2 linked regions of the Macaca mulatta genome follow. The protein of the gene in region 1 purifies or fractionates together with the protein of each later gene. This does not show direct contact. Links are inferred from orthologs where the notes say so. Each region holds a gene or a part of one and is shown in the gene's direction. Other genes may lie near its edges.

Evidence for each region. Proteins that work in one complex are often made in the same cells at the same time.
Region 2: the proteins of COPG2 (region 1) and COPZ1 fractionate together in Homo sapiens (co-fractionation; 5 studies listed by BioGRID and IntAct, with this or other methods). This does not show direct contact. The link is inferred for Macaca mulatta from reciprocal best matches to the Homo sapiens genes COPG2 and COPZ1.

What each region holds. Positions count from the first base shown.
Region 1 is NC_133408.1:170,235,332-170,243,141, reverse strand, and holds part of COPG2 (coatomer subunit gamma-2), read left to right. Parts: intron 1-198; coding exon 199-274; intron 275-1,278; coding exon 1,279-1,382; intron 1,383-1,945; coding exon 1,946-2,071; intron 2,072-3,214; coding exon 3,215-3,277; intron 3,278-4,035; coding exon 4,036-4,175; intron 4,176-4,733; coding exon 4,734-4,905; intron 4,906-7,810. UniProt on the Homo sapiens protein: The coatomer is a cytosolic protein complex that binds to dilysine motifs and reversibly associates with Golgi non-clathrin-coated vesicles, which further mediate biosynthetic protein transport from the ER, via the Golgi up to the trans Golgi network.
Region 2 is NC_133416.1:61,541,378-61,548,008, forward strand, and holds the end of COPZ1 (coatomer subunit zeta-1), read left to right. Parts: intron 1-2,171; coding exon 2,172-2,249; intron 2,250-2,404; coding exon 2,405-2,456; intron 2,457-4,026; coding exon of another isoform or gene 4,027-4,065; intron 4,066-4,094; coding exon 4,095-4,319; 3' UTR 4,320-4,879; coding exon of another isoform or gene 4,880-4,927; 3' UTR 4,928-6,249; downstream 6,250-6,631. UniProt on the Homo sapiens protein: The coatomer is a cytosolic protein complex that binds to dilysine motifs and reversibly associates with Golgi non-clathrin-coated vesicles, which further mediate biosynthetic protein transport from the ER, via the Golgi up to the trans Golgi network.

The sequences.
Region 1 (7,810 bases):
TCCTATTCAGAGCTCTCTTGGGCTTGCAGAATTCTATTTCTGCTTAACAGTATCAAAGAAATAAGATCAAGAAACAATAAAACAAGAGGGTTTATCTCCACTAAACATGGGAACACTTTTCTAATTTTTTTTCAAATGGTTATTGGTTAACTCTGAGAAACCAATATTTATGTAGCATAATTGTATGCTTCATTATAGCTGCTGTGAGTGCTTTGGCTAAATTTGGGGCTCAGAATGAGAGTCTTCTCCCAAGCATCCTTGTACTCTTACAGAGGTAAGTTAAATAATGTCTCTTTTTAAAAAAATAAGAATTCTGTATGGTTAAATAGTGAAATCCTCATTGTACCATAGAGCAGATGTACTCTAAGGCCTAAGAGTAGAGCTATTGGAGCAAGTCAGGGGCAAATGGCAGTTCCTTTCTCTTTTTAGTAATTGTGTATACCTCTCAATCAATTTGATGTGCTATTGACTGATCACTTCATCAAAGCCTCTAGCCTTGGTTTACGCAATAGCCTACATGTTTCCATCACTCCTCACTCGTATTTATAGAGCTTCTCTTCCCAGCCCCATTCCCTAAAACATTAGTTCTCCATAGGGTTTTATGTGCTAGGTACGTGTCACGTTAGACTTTGGCTTTCTCTCACTTGATTTTGAGAAAGTGACTTAAATACATATGCCTCAATTTGTACAACAGGCTTACTTAAAAAAGCTATTAGGTAATTCACTATGCAGAGTTGAAAATAATAGTTTTTCATTGTCTTCATGACTCTCTGTTTGATGAGGAAAAGACTTGCTTTAGCATACTGTGATTGCATCTTATAATTGAAGCAGATAAATTACAAGCCAAAGGTTAGCTAGTTTACATAAATTGTCATTTGAGCAATAACAATGGCTGGATTTTGAATTTATCTTTTTAGTATCCTTGGAAAGTATAATACTCCCATTTCCTAACTACAAAAAAGTCTAAGTCTTCAACAGGGTCATGTGGTTACAGATGGAAGAAAAGACTCCAGACTGCTATTTCATGTTCTTGTGCTCCTCGTTATTTTAATGCCTACTTCTGTAGTGCTTGTGATTCACAATAACAGTATTTCTTTAGTAATTCAGAACAGTACCCAAGATTTGTGGAGACTTTAGGAGCTACTGTTGGCTATTGTTGAGCACTTTTTTAAAGATAGTATCAGATGACGACCTGAGCTGTGTCCTTTAGATTTGGTAGTAGAGCTATTGGAAGTCTTTGGGGTACTGTGACATGACTATTCTGTTTCTCCTGGACAGGTGCATGATGGATACTGATGATGAGGTACGAGACAGAGCTACCTTCTATCTGAATGTGCTGCAGCAGAGGCAGGTGGCACTAAATGCCACATATATCTTTAATGGTCAGTGAAAGCCAAGGATGTCCACTTTTGTTCCTTGAATGGTGTCTAGAAAGCATATTTCATGATTTGCATATGAACTAACTTCACTAGGCAGATGCTTGGTTTTTGTCTTTGAATGCATTTCCGTTTCTAGAGAAACCTGTGTCTATAGGACAGTTTCTAATTTGGTAATGGTAATTCCTGTGCAACAATCTATAAGAATATAGATTGGGCCCTTACATTTTTTAAGAACGTTGCTCACTTATTCCTGGTTCTCCTTGAACTCCTTCTTGTTGCTATTGTTGTTCCCATATAGCTAAGTTGCTTTCTTTTCCGGGAGGTACATACATTTTGTTGAAAATGTGTATGCTATGCTCCCATGTTTCCTTGAATGAAATAAGTCAGTTTATAAGTTTATAAGGTAATTTCAGGAATATCCTTTATTTTTATATTTAGGTTATAAAGCTTTTGGTTATATTTTTCTCTTCCTTCAGAAAGCTTTGATAAATATTACAAACCTGGGCCTATTTGGATTTGGGGATTGGCAAGAGGTTATAATGCTGAGATTTCTCTGTGTTTCACAGGTTTGACGGTCTCCGTACCAGGGATGGAAAAAGCCTTACACCAGTACACGTTGGAGCCTTCAGAAAAACCGTTTGACATGAAATCAATTCCTCTTGCTATGGCTCCTGTCTTCGAACAGAAAGCAGGTTAACTCTATTCGTTTTTCTGTGTATAAGTAGTTTTGCAAAACCAAAAAATACTATCTTACTTTCTCTAATACGCATTTAATTGTCACTCTTTTTTTTTTTTTTGGAGATGGAGTCTCGCTCCCGTCACACGGGCTGGTGTGCAGTGACACGATCTTGGCTCACTGCAACCTCCACCTCCCGGGTTCAAGCGATTCTCCTTCCTCAGTCTTCCGAGTAGCTAGGATTACAGGCATGCCCTACTACGCCTGGCTAATTTTTCTAGTTTTAGTAGAGACTGGATTTCACCATGTTGGCTAGGCTGGTCTTGTACTCCTGACCTCAGGTGATCCACCCGCCTCAGCCTCCCACAGTGCTTGGATTACAGGCGGGGAGCCACTGTGCTCGGCCGATTGTCACCCCTTCTAAATCTTTTAGATTTAAGACCTATTTTTATTAGAGTTTTAAAAAACTCCTGGTTTTTACATAAAAGCAGTAATATGAAATACGCTCCAAGATAAAGGTTTTTTTTTTAATGCAAAGTCTTACAGTATCTGAAGTCAGTTGCCACTGTGCATCTCACTCAGAGCAGTTAATAGTGCTGTTGCCTCCTATTTTTATTTTCCGAAGTTGATAATCTCTAAGTTAATTGATTTTGTTATTGGAGGTTCATCTTAAAAGAATTTATGGGACACAATCATAAAAAATATTCCCAAAGAATATCTAACTTTAAAACTTAAAACAAAAACAGAAGACATAAATGTTTAGTGGTTAGAACACAAAACTGGGAAGAAACAATTTTATGCTTATTTTCAACATTTTCAGTTTTTCTGTTGATATAAGTAATTTTTCCTATTTTGATCATGAGAAGATTTTTAAAATAAATTGTTTTTCCTTTTCTGAGTAATTTTTGTACATCCCAGTCCATTTAAAGCAAATTCTATATTTTTAGGGCTTACTTTATGATTCCACAACATATGTTCACTACATACATTTTAATTTGAGTGTCCCCCCATCAGAAGTGACAGATAACCTGTAAGTATGATTTAGTAATAGCTCATTATATATCTGCTAGAAATGTCTGCTCTTTTCTCTTTCTGTCTGCATTGCTAGCTTGATAGTACGGGGAGAAGTTCACTTACTTGCTCATATCTGTCTTTATAGAAATCACATTTGTGGCTACTAAGCCAGAGAAGCTGGCTCCTTCCAGGCAAGACATTTTCCAAGGTATGATGATTTGATGGTTAGACGTAATAATCTCGCCCCTTGGCATTGTAAATATAATAAAGTCCACCAGTCTTACTCAATTTGATTAGTTCTCAATATAGGAAATCTTCATGTGGCTGAACACCATAGGGTATAGTTGCTGAGGCTACCCGGAGTCCAGGAACTTTCCAGTTTGTAATTGCTAACTGGGAATGTTTTTCTTTTCTGTATCTCGTTGGTTAACAGGGAACTCATTGTAAAATAAGTATTTAGTTTCTTTTTTTTTTCTTTTGCTTTCATTATTATATAAGCTCACTTACTTAAAAGATTATTTCACTAAAACTTGGGGACATATTAGTTGAATGTTCAACCATTAGTAAGGCTATGGAAACTAAAGCTTTTGTTTTTTTTTTTTTTTTTGAGACAGAGTCTCACTCTGTCGCCCAGGCTGGAGTGCAGTGGCGCGATCTCGGCTCACTACAAGCCCTGCCTCCCAGGTTCACGCCGTTCTCCTGCCTCAGCCTCCTGAGTAGCTGGGATTACAGGCGCCCTCCACCACGCCCAGCTAATTTTTTTGTATTTTTAGTAGAGACGGGGTTTCACCATGTTAGCCAGGATAGTCTCAATCTCCTGACCTCGTGATCCCACGCCTTGGCCTCCCAAAGTGCTGGGATTACAGGCGTGAGCCACCGCGCCCGGCCAACTAAAGCATTTTTTAAGCATCCAGAGTAAAGCCTTTCCCTGTCTTCTTCATAGCCTGTGTTCTTTTTTCTTGATAGAACAATTGGCTGCCATTCCTGAGTTTCTGAATATAGGACCCTTGTTCAAGTCTTCTGAGCCTGTTCAACTTACAGAAGCAGAGACAGAATATTTTGTTCGATGTATCAAGCACATGTTTACCAATCACATTGTGTTCCAGGTAAGAGAATGCCCTTAACTCCTGTAGGGATTTAGTATAAACTGGTATGCTTTGAGACAAATATCCTTTACCTATAATTCTAGTTTCTTTTATAGATAATTAATTTGGCAGAATTTCTGGTTTTCTTGCTTAACACCAGAGCTATAGAGATCCCTTCATGTGATGGGCAACTTTTGATGGTTCAAATCTAAAGGACATAAAACTGAAATGTGTGAAGAAGTTGGACAACATAAAGTATAACCAACTTTTTAAAATTATCATTTAACATCAGGGTAGATTAAGTGGGCTAATTCTAAGAACTTAGATTTGACAGCGATCAGACTTCTGCCATCTTGTTTGGTACAGCAGTCTCAGGAAAGAGAAAAAACTGGTGAATAATATAAACAAAAGACCTCAACAATAAGGCTCTCCCTGTTGCCAAAAGAAGAATCTTAGGAGGAGACCTACCCTGCTCTTTAGAGGTAGAAGGTATAGTGGGTTCCAGAGCTGAGTAGTGGGTTATGAGTGGGAAGGATAACTTGTTATCCTTCACAACTTTTCCATTTACTGACTTTTCAGTTTGACTGCACCAACACTCTCAATGACCAGCTGCTGGAAAAAGTGACAGTGCAGATGGAGCCATCAGATTCCTATGAAGTGCTGTGTTGTATCCCAGCCCCCAGCCTTCCTTATAACCAACCAGGAATATGTTACACTCTTGTTCGTTTGCCTGATGATGACCCTACAGCAGGTACTAACCCTTAGAAGGGAGGAGATACTTACGTGATTCAGAATGCATTACCTTGAGAGCGCTTCAACTCTTCCAATGCTCAGTTTAAGAATGTGATGCTTTTCTAGAATTTAATGTAATGATAATGAGTGTGTGTGTGTATGTGTTTGTGTGTGTGTGTGAATATATATATTTATAAAATTGGTTACTGCTGCAGAAATAATTTTAAAACTAAATCTCTGAGTAAAATTTGCTAAACACTTAATCTTAAAAGAGAAACTGAGTGTGTATAGCACAAAAAGGAACTCAAGCTTTCTGTTGGAATAATGTGACCACTTGTGACAGTTCATATACCTGATGTCTCCTATGAAGAATCTTGACCCACTTCTCCTCAAAGTTTCTATCTAGTTAGATTGAACTTGGTTATGGAGTAGATGGTTGACATTTTAAAATATATCATTTTTGAAGGTCCTGTAGCATAAGGCTGGTGTCTGAGAGCATGTCTCAGCCTAGTGAGTGGCTTAGCCAACCATGTGTGTCCACATTAAGAAGGGCTTTTAATTCCCAGCTTGACCCATATGCAGTCTTTGCGGGGGGAAAAACAGCCCCTAAAAGGCAGCCAGCTAGTGTCAGTAGTAGTATTTACTTATTTGGAGACTTGGGAAGGTCTCATGACCTATCTCTTGTGAATGTCAAGTATTTGTTCTACTTGATTCCCCCCACCGCCATTTTCCTCCTTGATTTCTTCTCTCATTCATTGCACAATATTCATAACTGTTACCCAATTTTCACAGAAATAAGCACACACATCACATTTATGTTTTGAATAACTTTTACTGCTCATAAGTACAGGAAAAACAGAAGTTAAAAAATTAACAAATACTGGGGAAGTTACAGAGTTACAAGAAATCATAAAAGCACTAGTAAATAGTTATCCCTGGTCATCATTCAGTTACATTTGGGGCTTAACCTGCTTTCTTTTAGCCCCTCTCCAAACTCCCTTCTTAGATGTTGGTTCCTGGGAGCCTCTGTCCAGTCTTATCTGTGTTAGGTGATAGACCAGGCTGCTCAGACTCTAGCACGAGGTAGATTCAAGTTGGCACCACTGCTGTGTCTGAATCCCAGGTTGTTCCCTCTGGCCCTGGGTGGAACTCTACTTCTATCCTCTAGCCACCCTGGATCCATAACCCCCTGAGTAGGAAGGCACTTTCCTATCTGGCCTCCAGTATTTCTCCTTTGAGCTCAAGATTATCTGGCTTTAACCTTTAATTACCTCCTTTATCCCTTTGTGAGGTTTCTCTAGTTCCATTTCCTTATAACTTCGCTTTCTCTCCTGGTCTGTTTTTCTCTCCAGTTAGATTTGTCTGAAATATGTCCACAAGCCAGTAATTAAGCTGGCTCTACTCTTAAGTAAACCTAGTTTTATTTACCCTTTTCTAAACTAGTATTTGGGCCCAATCTTAATGTAGTCCTGTGGCTTCTACCATTGTCTGGAGAGATTCTGCACTTCGTCAGTTCTTTTCCAGTAGCCATCTTTCCATGTTTCAAAATTCCTCCCGCTATTCTACCTCTCACTATTCTACCTCTCACCAACATCCTGTTTTTTAAGGGATGCTATTACTTTGCCACTTACTTTCAGAGGGAAGTGAAATGCTGAACCCATTGAAGAATCAGTCCCTTGCCAATTGAGAATACTAGCTCTTCCCACTTCCCCAGGTTCATTTTGCTCACACCCCAGGAAGTATTCTTAACAGAATCTAAGAAGTACAATTTTATAATACCAAAATACACAAAACAGCAATATAGAAATTACATATAGCATAGGAAAAAACCAACAACAACAACAGAAAACATTTCCACCAAGAGAGAAAAACAGGAGAGGTTTTCTTGCCCCTGTTCACTAAGGATTTTTAAAACATAGATCTTACAGATTAGCCCAGAGATTTCAACATTTGGTCTGCTGGCTATGGACTCTTTTGCTTGATGGTTTGATTTTTGTTTATAAAAGTTTGGCATTTAGGGAATTGTTTAAAGTTTCGTTAGTAGTAAGTTTATATTTGACCCATCATATACCTACTTAAAAACAAACTCCTTTCTATTTAGTTTTTATCAGAATTCTCAAATTTTTAATCCATGGCCAATCTAAAGTCTATGCTATGCAATGAAAGAAGTGAAATACCAGGGCATAGATGGTAATAGGTATCTTCTACCCATTCCTTCCTTTTTGCATTTTCCCATCACAGATATTCCAAATTTTACCTATCACCTCAAGGTCTTAAACATCAATATGTCTCATTTCAGAAAAATAATGTTTTTCCTTATAATCACAGTGAAAAAACAGAAATTCTTGGTTGTTTCCTTCAACTTGAAAACAGTATAGCATAATAGAAAGAAATATGGGTTTGATAGACAGATGAGGATTTGAATTCTGGCCCTGCTACATACCTGACTGTGTGATCTTAGACAAATTATTTGATCTCTTAGAACTGTTATAAGATAAAATGAAATGAAATAATAGGTAAATTGCTTCACATGGTGCCAGACACATAGAACCTTTTAGTGTTTGATTCTAGAATTATCCACTTTCTTCCTTTATCTTCTCTAAAAATGAAGTCTTCTAGAGTTCAAAAGACAAGTATCCTCTAATCTCTTCCAGAAAGTTGTTCCATCAGTTATCCTTTCTTTGATCGATCTTTAATCTTTTCTACTCCCCTTACTTTATAAATGTATACAAATCTACCCTATCTGAAAAAATTTGCTGTAACCCAACATCAATATATTACCATAACACCTTCTTGCAAAGGTTGGGCAATTTCTTGAAAGACTAGGGACATGCTAATAATTAGTCCTACTTATTATCTTTCTTCCTCCAAGACCTTGTCCTTTACCTAAAAAGTTTTAGAAAAGCCTTTAAGGCAGCATTCCT
Region 2 (6,631 bases), on another chromosome or scaffold:
GGATTGTGGGAGATTGGCAAACGCTCCAGGGAGTTGATTTAGTTTAAGAAGTTGGGTTTTGCCAGGCGTGGTGACTCACGCCTGTAATCCCAGTACTTTGGGAGGCCAACGTGGGTGGATCACGAGGTCAGGTGAACCATCCTGGCTAACATGGGGAAACCCCGTCTCCACTAAAAATACAAAAAATTAGCTGGGCATGGTAGTGGGCGCCTGTAGTCCCAGCTACTCAGGAGGCTGAGGCAGGAGAATGGCGTGAACCTGGGAGGTGGAGCTTGCAGTGAGCCAAGATCACACCACTGCACTCCAAACTTGGCGACAGAGTGAGACTGTGTCTCAAGAAAAAAAAAAAAAAAGAAGGTCGGTTTTATTAATTCATAGTAATTCATGCTACTGGGGAGGACTGGATGGAGAGTATGTCCCTCCTATGGAATAATGATCTTACTAAGGAAGGGGACTGGGAGGGAGCCGAATCTTTACCTCTGTGTTTACTCTTGTAATCCCCTGTGGCCCTGTCAGATCTGAGCATCCTCAAGGTGCTTTCCTGGGCTTCATTCTTGACATTAGAAGTAGGGAAAGGGCAAGCATAAGGAAGTGTCCCAGATAGTATGTCATTCAGTACTTCGGGAATGGAAGCAACACTCCCAATTTTTTTTTTTCATTCTTTTTTTTTTTTTTTGAGATGGAGTCTCACTCCGTCATACAGGCTAGAGTGCAGTAGCATGATCTCGGCTCACTGCAACCTCTGCCTCCCAGGTTCAAGCGATTCTCCTCCTCAGCCTCCTGAGTAGAGTAGCTGGGATTACAGGCATGCGCCACCACGCCTGGCTAATTTTTGTATTTTTAGTAGAGATGGGGTTTTACCATGTTGGCCAGGCTGGTCTTGAACTCCTGACCTCAAATGATCCACCTACCTTGGCCTCCCAAAGTGCTGGGATTATAGGCATGAGCCACGTAGCCCAGTTTTTTTTTTTTTTTTTTTTTTTTTTCCACTTCTAGTCCTTGTTTTTTGCCTTCTATAGAACAGGAAGCACCCAGGCAGGAGGATTGCATAAGTCGAGTTCAAGACAAGCCTGGGCAACATAGTGCCCTGTCTCTGCAAAAAATAAAAAAATTAGCCAGGTGTGGTGGTACATACCTGTAGTCTCAGCTACTCAGGATGCTGAGGTAGGAAGATTGCTTGAGCCCAGGAGGTTGAGGCTGCACTGAGCTGTGATCATGCTGCTGCACTTCAGACTAGGCGACATAGCAAGACCCTGTCTCAAAAAACCAAAAAAAAAAAAAAAAAAAAACCAGGAAGCTTCTGCCATTTACCCTCTCCTCCCTTTCCACTTCCCCACTAGCCCTCTGTTAACCGTGTAGATGGGTAATAGAAGAGAGGTAAGTTACTTTTTCTGAAAACATCCAGGGCTCTGAACTTCATTCCCCCAGCAGCTCTCAAGTGAACCCAGTACAGACAGCCATCCAGACCAGAACAGCAGGCACTCTCAGCCCTGCAAACTCAGCAGGGTGAATGGCTCAGATTTCCTCAGGAAGGGGATGATTTATTTCTTATCCAGGTGAATGAATAGACTTCATTTCGGGTAATCTAGTGAAAGCCTCAAACTGACGGATGTGACAGGCCACATGCACCAACCACCGGATCTGAGGCTAGTGTATGCAGACCCTGCCCCCTCTTTGGGCTTCTTTTCAGGGCCTGAGCAGAGCTGGTAAGGGATAGGGAGAAGAGGGAACAGAGAATGTCTCAGGAGGTTTGTTAGAGCTTGAGTGCAAATAAGGTTTGCATTCAACCCCTCGCACCTCCGGCCACCTCCAGATTGAGTCTTAGCTCTGTTTATATTTTTTTCCACCCACTGATGTCAGTGTTTATGAGCAATGTTATGAGCAGCAGCATGGCAGGTAGGAAAGAAACAATAGCTGTGGATAATCAACCCCTGAATAGTCAGAAATTAACTGTATTATTTGAATCTCTTTCCATACATTCCTTATTCAGCAACCAAGAGTAGAAAGGGGTTTTGAGTGAACTAGCTAAAAAGTTCTTCACCTTATTTACTTCTTTGTGTGGTTGGTGGAGATGTTTATTGGTCTAGTTTAGGTTCCTCAATTCAGACAAGGTCCTAGGATTTCTTTCACACACAATTTGGTTTTTTTCTTCTCTTCTCTTGGGGACTCAGGAAAAATGTAGAAAAGCGAGCACTGCTGGAGAACATGGAGGGGCTGTTCTTGGCTGTGGATGAAATTGTAGATGGAGGGTAAGTTCTCTGACCTGCCTTGATCTTGGGTGAGGTAGTGGGATAACTGCCCCTGTCCTAAGTCAAGCAGGCTCAGCGGCCAGAGGTCCTGTTCCCCCACAGTGAGTTGGGCATTCGGGACAGAGTGAACAGTGATCTCTTCTTTGTTTTTGCAGGGTGATCCTCGAGAGTGATCCCCAGCAGGTGGTACACCGGGTGGCATTAAGGGTAAGCAGGAATGTGTTTCTCTGCATCCCCGCATCTATTCACAAACACCCTCCACAGCCAGACCTGCTGGATGTGTCTAGTAGTTGGGGCTCATAGGATACATAGAACCTTCTCTTTTTCTTTCAAATACATTCAGCCTTTCTCTTTCCTTCCCTTCTTATTGTCCCAAAGAAAGAAGAAGAAAGAACTTATTTCTACCCCTAATAAGGTACCTAACATCTCATACAGTCTTTGCACAAAGTGGACATTTAATACATATTTATTTAATAAGTGATAAAATAAACTAATATTTATGGTTTTGAAATTATAAAGGAACTTGAAGTTGGCTTATTTCCTTCTTGGAGATGGATCCAATCATCTGAGGCAGAAGAGTGTCTTTTTTGTCTTTTAAAGTGTTATATAGGACTGGGTGTGGTGGCTCACACCTGTAATCTCAGCACTTTGGGAAGTGGAGGCCGGTAGATCACAAGGTCAGGAGATCGAGATCAGCCTGACCAACGTGGTGAAACCCTGTCTCTACTAAAAATACAAAAATTAGCTGGGCGTGGTGGTGCGTGCCTGTAATCCCAGCTACTCGAGAGGCTGAGGCAGGAGAATTGCTTGAGCCTGGGAGGTGGAGGTTGCAGTGAGCCAAGATTGCACCACTGCACTGCAGCCTGGGTGACAGAGTGAGACTCTGTCTCAAAAATAAATAAATAAATAAATAAATAAAGTGTTACATAACTGAGGATGGTGCCTCTCCATCAGGAAGTACGTATTTGCCAGAACCTCAGAACCTCAGTCCTCTTTGGTGCTAGTGATATCAGAAAGGGGCCTCTGAGTTAACCATAGAAGGCCCCAGGTCAGCTGAGGAGATAATGGTGGATGCAGAGAGCCCACAAGCAAATTATACGGGTGCAGAGATGTCTGAGCAAAGCAAATTCTCCCCATTCACAGAATGTCCTGGCTCTGACCTCCACAGAGTGAAGGCTGACAGTGCTTGGTAATGGGAAATCTTCTCCCTTAACTGCTGTGGGCTCCATTTGCATAGTTTAATCTTCTCCTCTAACATATGTCTCTATGTGGCAAGAGAGAGGGTCCCCCCACCAACTCCCCCCTTTCTCTTCTCAGGCTGCTGTTGCAGCAGTTTATTTCTTCAAATTAACATGCTGTCGTTACCCATCAGGCTTTGCGGGATCCATTAAACCACTCCTGGCTCCCCCTCATCCTTTCCCTAGCAATACTGATACTCAGAGAAGGCCTTTTCTGACTAGAGAATCAGGTCCTCCACCCCCAAGTTAAGGGAGTTGAGGATCAGATAACCTGCTGGTTACTCGGAATGGAGTTAAATCTTTTAAGAAGTCCTCCTGCCTTAAAATGGAAGCTGGATGAAATGACCCTTTTTTGTTCATAGTCCCTCTGGCCAAGTAAAACTGTAGCTGTCCTAGTCCCCAGAAGGGACTGAGAAGTTCAGCGCATCTGCCCTTTGTTTCAGTTTAAAGGATTACTTTTTTCTTCTCTAATACCAGACTCCAATCAGGTCTTACTCCAGCTTTCTCCCACACTAAATGCTTGTATCTCTGTGCCATAGGGTGAAGATGTCCCCCTTACGGAGCAGACCGTGTCTCAGGTATGACTTTCTCCCTTCTTCCTTTCCAGATGGACTGCATCACTAAAGAGGCTAGAACAGCATTCCACCCATACCTCCCAAGTCTGAGTGAGACTGGAGACTCAAGACACATCTTTCTTGGCTCCCTCTTATTCCAGAGAACTGGGACTTATATAGCCAGCTACTCCCTACCCCTACTTCCAACTCCTTTCTTAGTTTCCTGTGAACAGTGGCTGTCAACCTTGCTCTGTACCCTTCAAACCTTCCTTGCCTGATGCCTCATTCAGTGATTTATTCCCCAGCAGAGGCTTGCCTTAAGCAGATGGTCTGTGTGCATTTGTGCATACACTCTCTCTTTCTCTTATTATTCAAATGAGGGCTAAGCTGGAAATGCATATTCTAGAATATGCAGGTTTTGCAGATCCATCTTGCTACCTTGACTGCAGATAGATTGTCTACCTGATGTAGGGGGAAGGGAGGGGTTCTGTTTTCTACCCGCTTGGCATTCTCACCAAGAAGTCCATCTGGATTTGTTACCCGTCTCCCACCCACCGCCCCTTTTAATATGTGTCCAGTAACTCCCAGTTTTTTTTTTTTTTTTCTTTTGTACCTCTTCTTTCTTCATCCCCCTCAGTGGATTTGTATTTTTTTGAAATTTTCCAAACAATCTGCTAGGGCCTTAGAGAGCTTCTTCCCATCTCTTTACCTTTGGGGATTTTCTATTCTCCATTCTTGTAAGGACAGGGAAGACAAGTGAGGGGAAGGAGATCCCCAGCCCTCATGCTTACCCTGCCCTGTCAGCAAGCTTTCCTCAACGCTGCTCTTATCTCTGCAGGTGCTGCAGTCAGCCAAAGAACAGATCAAGTGGTCACTCCTTCGGTGAAGATCCCACTGTTCCTGGCTCTTCATCCTCTTCAAAAAATTCGCATGTCTGCTGTGAATTTTCATCTAGTTCCCCAATCGATGCTCTCAGGGTCATCTCGGGGATCACAGGGATCCTTAAATCTCCATTCTGTTTGTGGTTGTCCCCCCAACCTCCCCTACACCCTCCCTATTATTTTTCATTCTTCTTGCAGTTCTGGGAGTAAAGCTCCCAGCATATTCAGATAATAGGGCAGGGGAAGCACCCTCTTTCTTTCTCGACTGGATTATGCTCACATGCTCCCCTGCCCTGACATTTTTGTAAATTCTGTGCCCTTTGTTGTAGCTACACTTCAGATTAAAGTAGGAGAAAGAATGTGCTGAATGTTTTCCTGCCTTTGCCTTTACCTGGACCTCATCCCGACACCCCAGCAAGGGGAGGGAAAAAGAGAATTCTTTACTATAGAACGAGTGGGGGTGGGGATGGGTAGGGATTTATCCAATCTAAGCCCTAGCCCCACTTACTGACCTCAGTGTTTTCTTCCATTCCTTCTTACTGCCCTGTCCTCTGCCTTGGAAAAGGTACTGGGAATAGTTCATAGGGAAGGGACAACATGGAAGAAACAGTGATTTAAATTGTATTGAATAGGGCACATAAAATGCATTCTCTACCCCGATCTGGCATATAGCTTCAAAACTGCCGTGGTGAGTGCCCGTCTCTTAATTAGCTGCCTTAACTCCACCCTTACTACCTGTGGGATCTTTGCCTGGTTTGTCTTCTCTGTGTCCTGAAGCAAAGCCAGTTCCTAAAACTAAAACTCCATTCTAGTCTTGGGAAGAAAACTTTCTACTCAGAACTGGGGAAGGAGTAGAACTTATGACTTGGGCGTCTAGGCTGTCTCTGTCCCCTCAACTCCCCGACATGCATTTACTCCTCTGCCTTGGGTCTACATTCGCTGCAGCCCACCCTCTCTCTGCTTCAGCCTTACACCCAAGCAGTGCGTCTGTGCTCTCCCTGTCTCTAGGTCGCTGAGAGAGGTGCTTTTCTTCATGAAACCTTTGGGATTTGGATTTCCCCAGGAAGATGGAGAATGGAATACTCACTCTTGGGTGTAATCTTTCCCCTAGACCCAGAACTTCCTCCCCACAAAAATGTCTTTAAAAACCTTCCTGAGACTTAAGCATTCTGCCCCACTTACTAACTGCCAGTTCTCCAACACTGAAGTGGGGCAGATAACTGGGCATATTTGAGGGGGCATCTTTGTGTAAAAGATGCATGGAGTCAGGAGATAGCCACCTTCATAAACTGCTCTGTGCAAAGAGGAATAAAACATTTTTTCAAAACTGCCTTTGTGTGATGTTTCTGTTTCTCTTCCTCTCTTTTTGGCAGCTACTCCTGTTCTTCCAGGCCCCCTCATTCCCCATCTTACAATATTTCTTCCCTCGTACCTCAGAGACTCTATAGCAGTGCCCCCCCATCCCTAATTTACGGGGCTGTTTGCCTCCTTGGCATCTCTCCGTCCCCTCGCCTGGAAATTGGCGCCAGGGGTGGGGTGGGGATGGTATTTTCTCAGTGGGAGTCCCAGGGAACTGAGTTCTTCCGCCACCACCCCCAAAGCCAGCTGCCTGCTCCCGCCTCAGCCATTAGTAACCCAGAGACGCGCACCTGCGTGGGGGCTCTCCTCCAGCCCTTGCTCCCTTCCTGCACCTCCCACTCCTGCTCTGA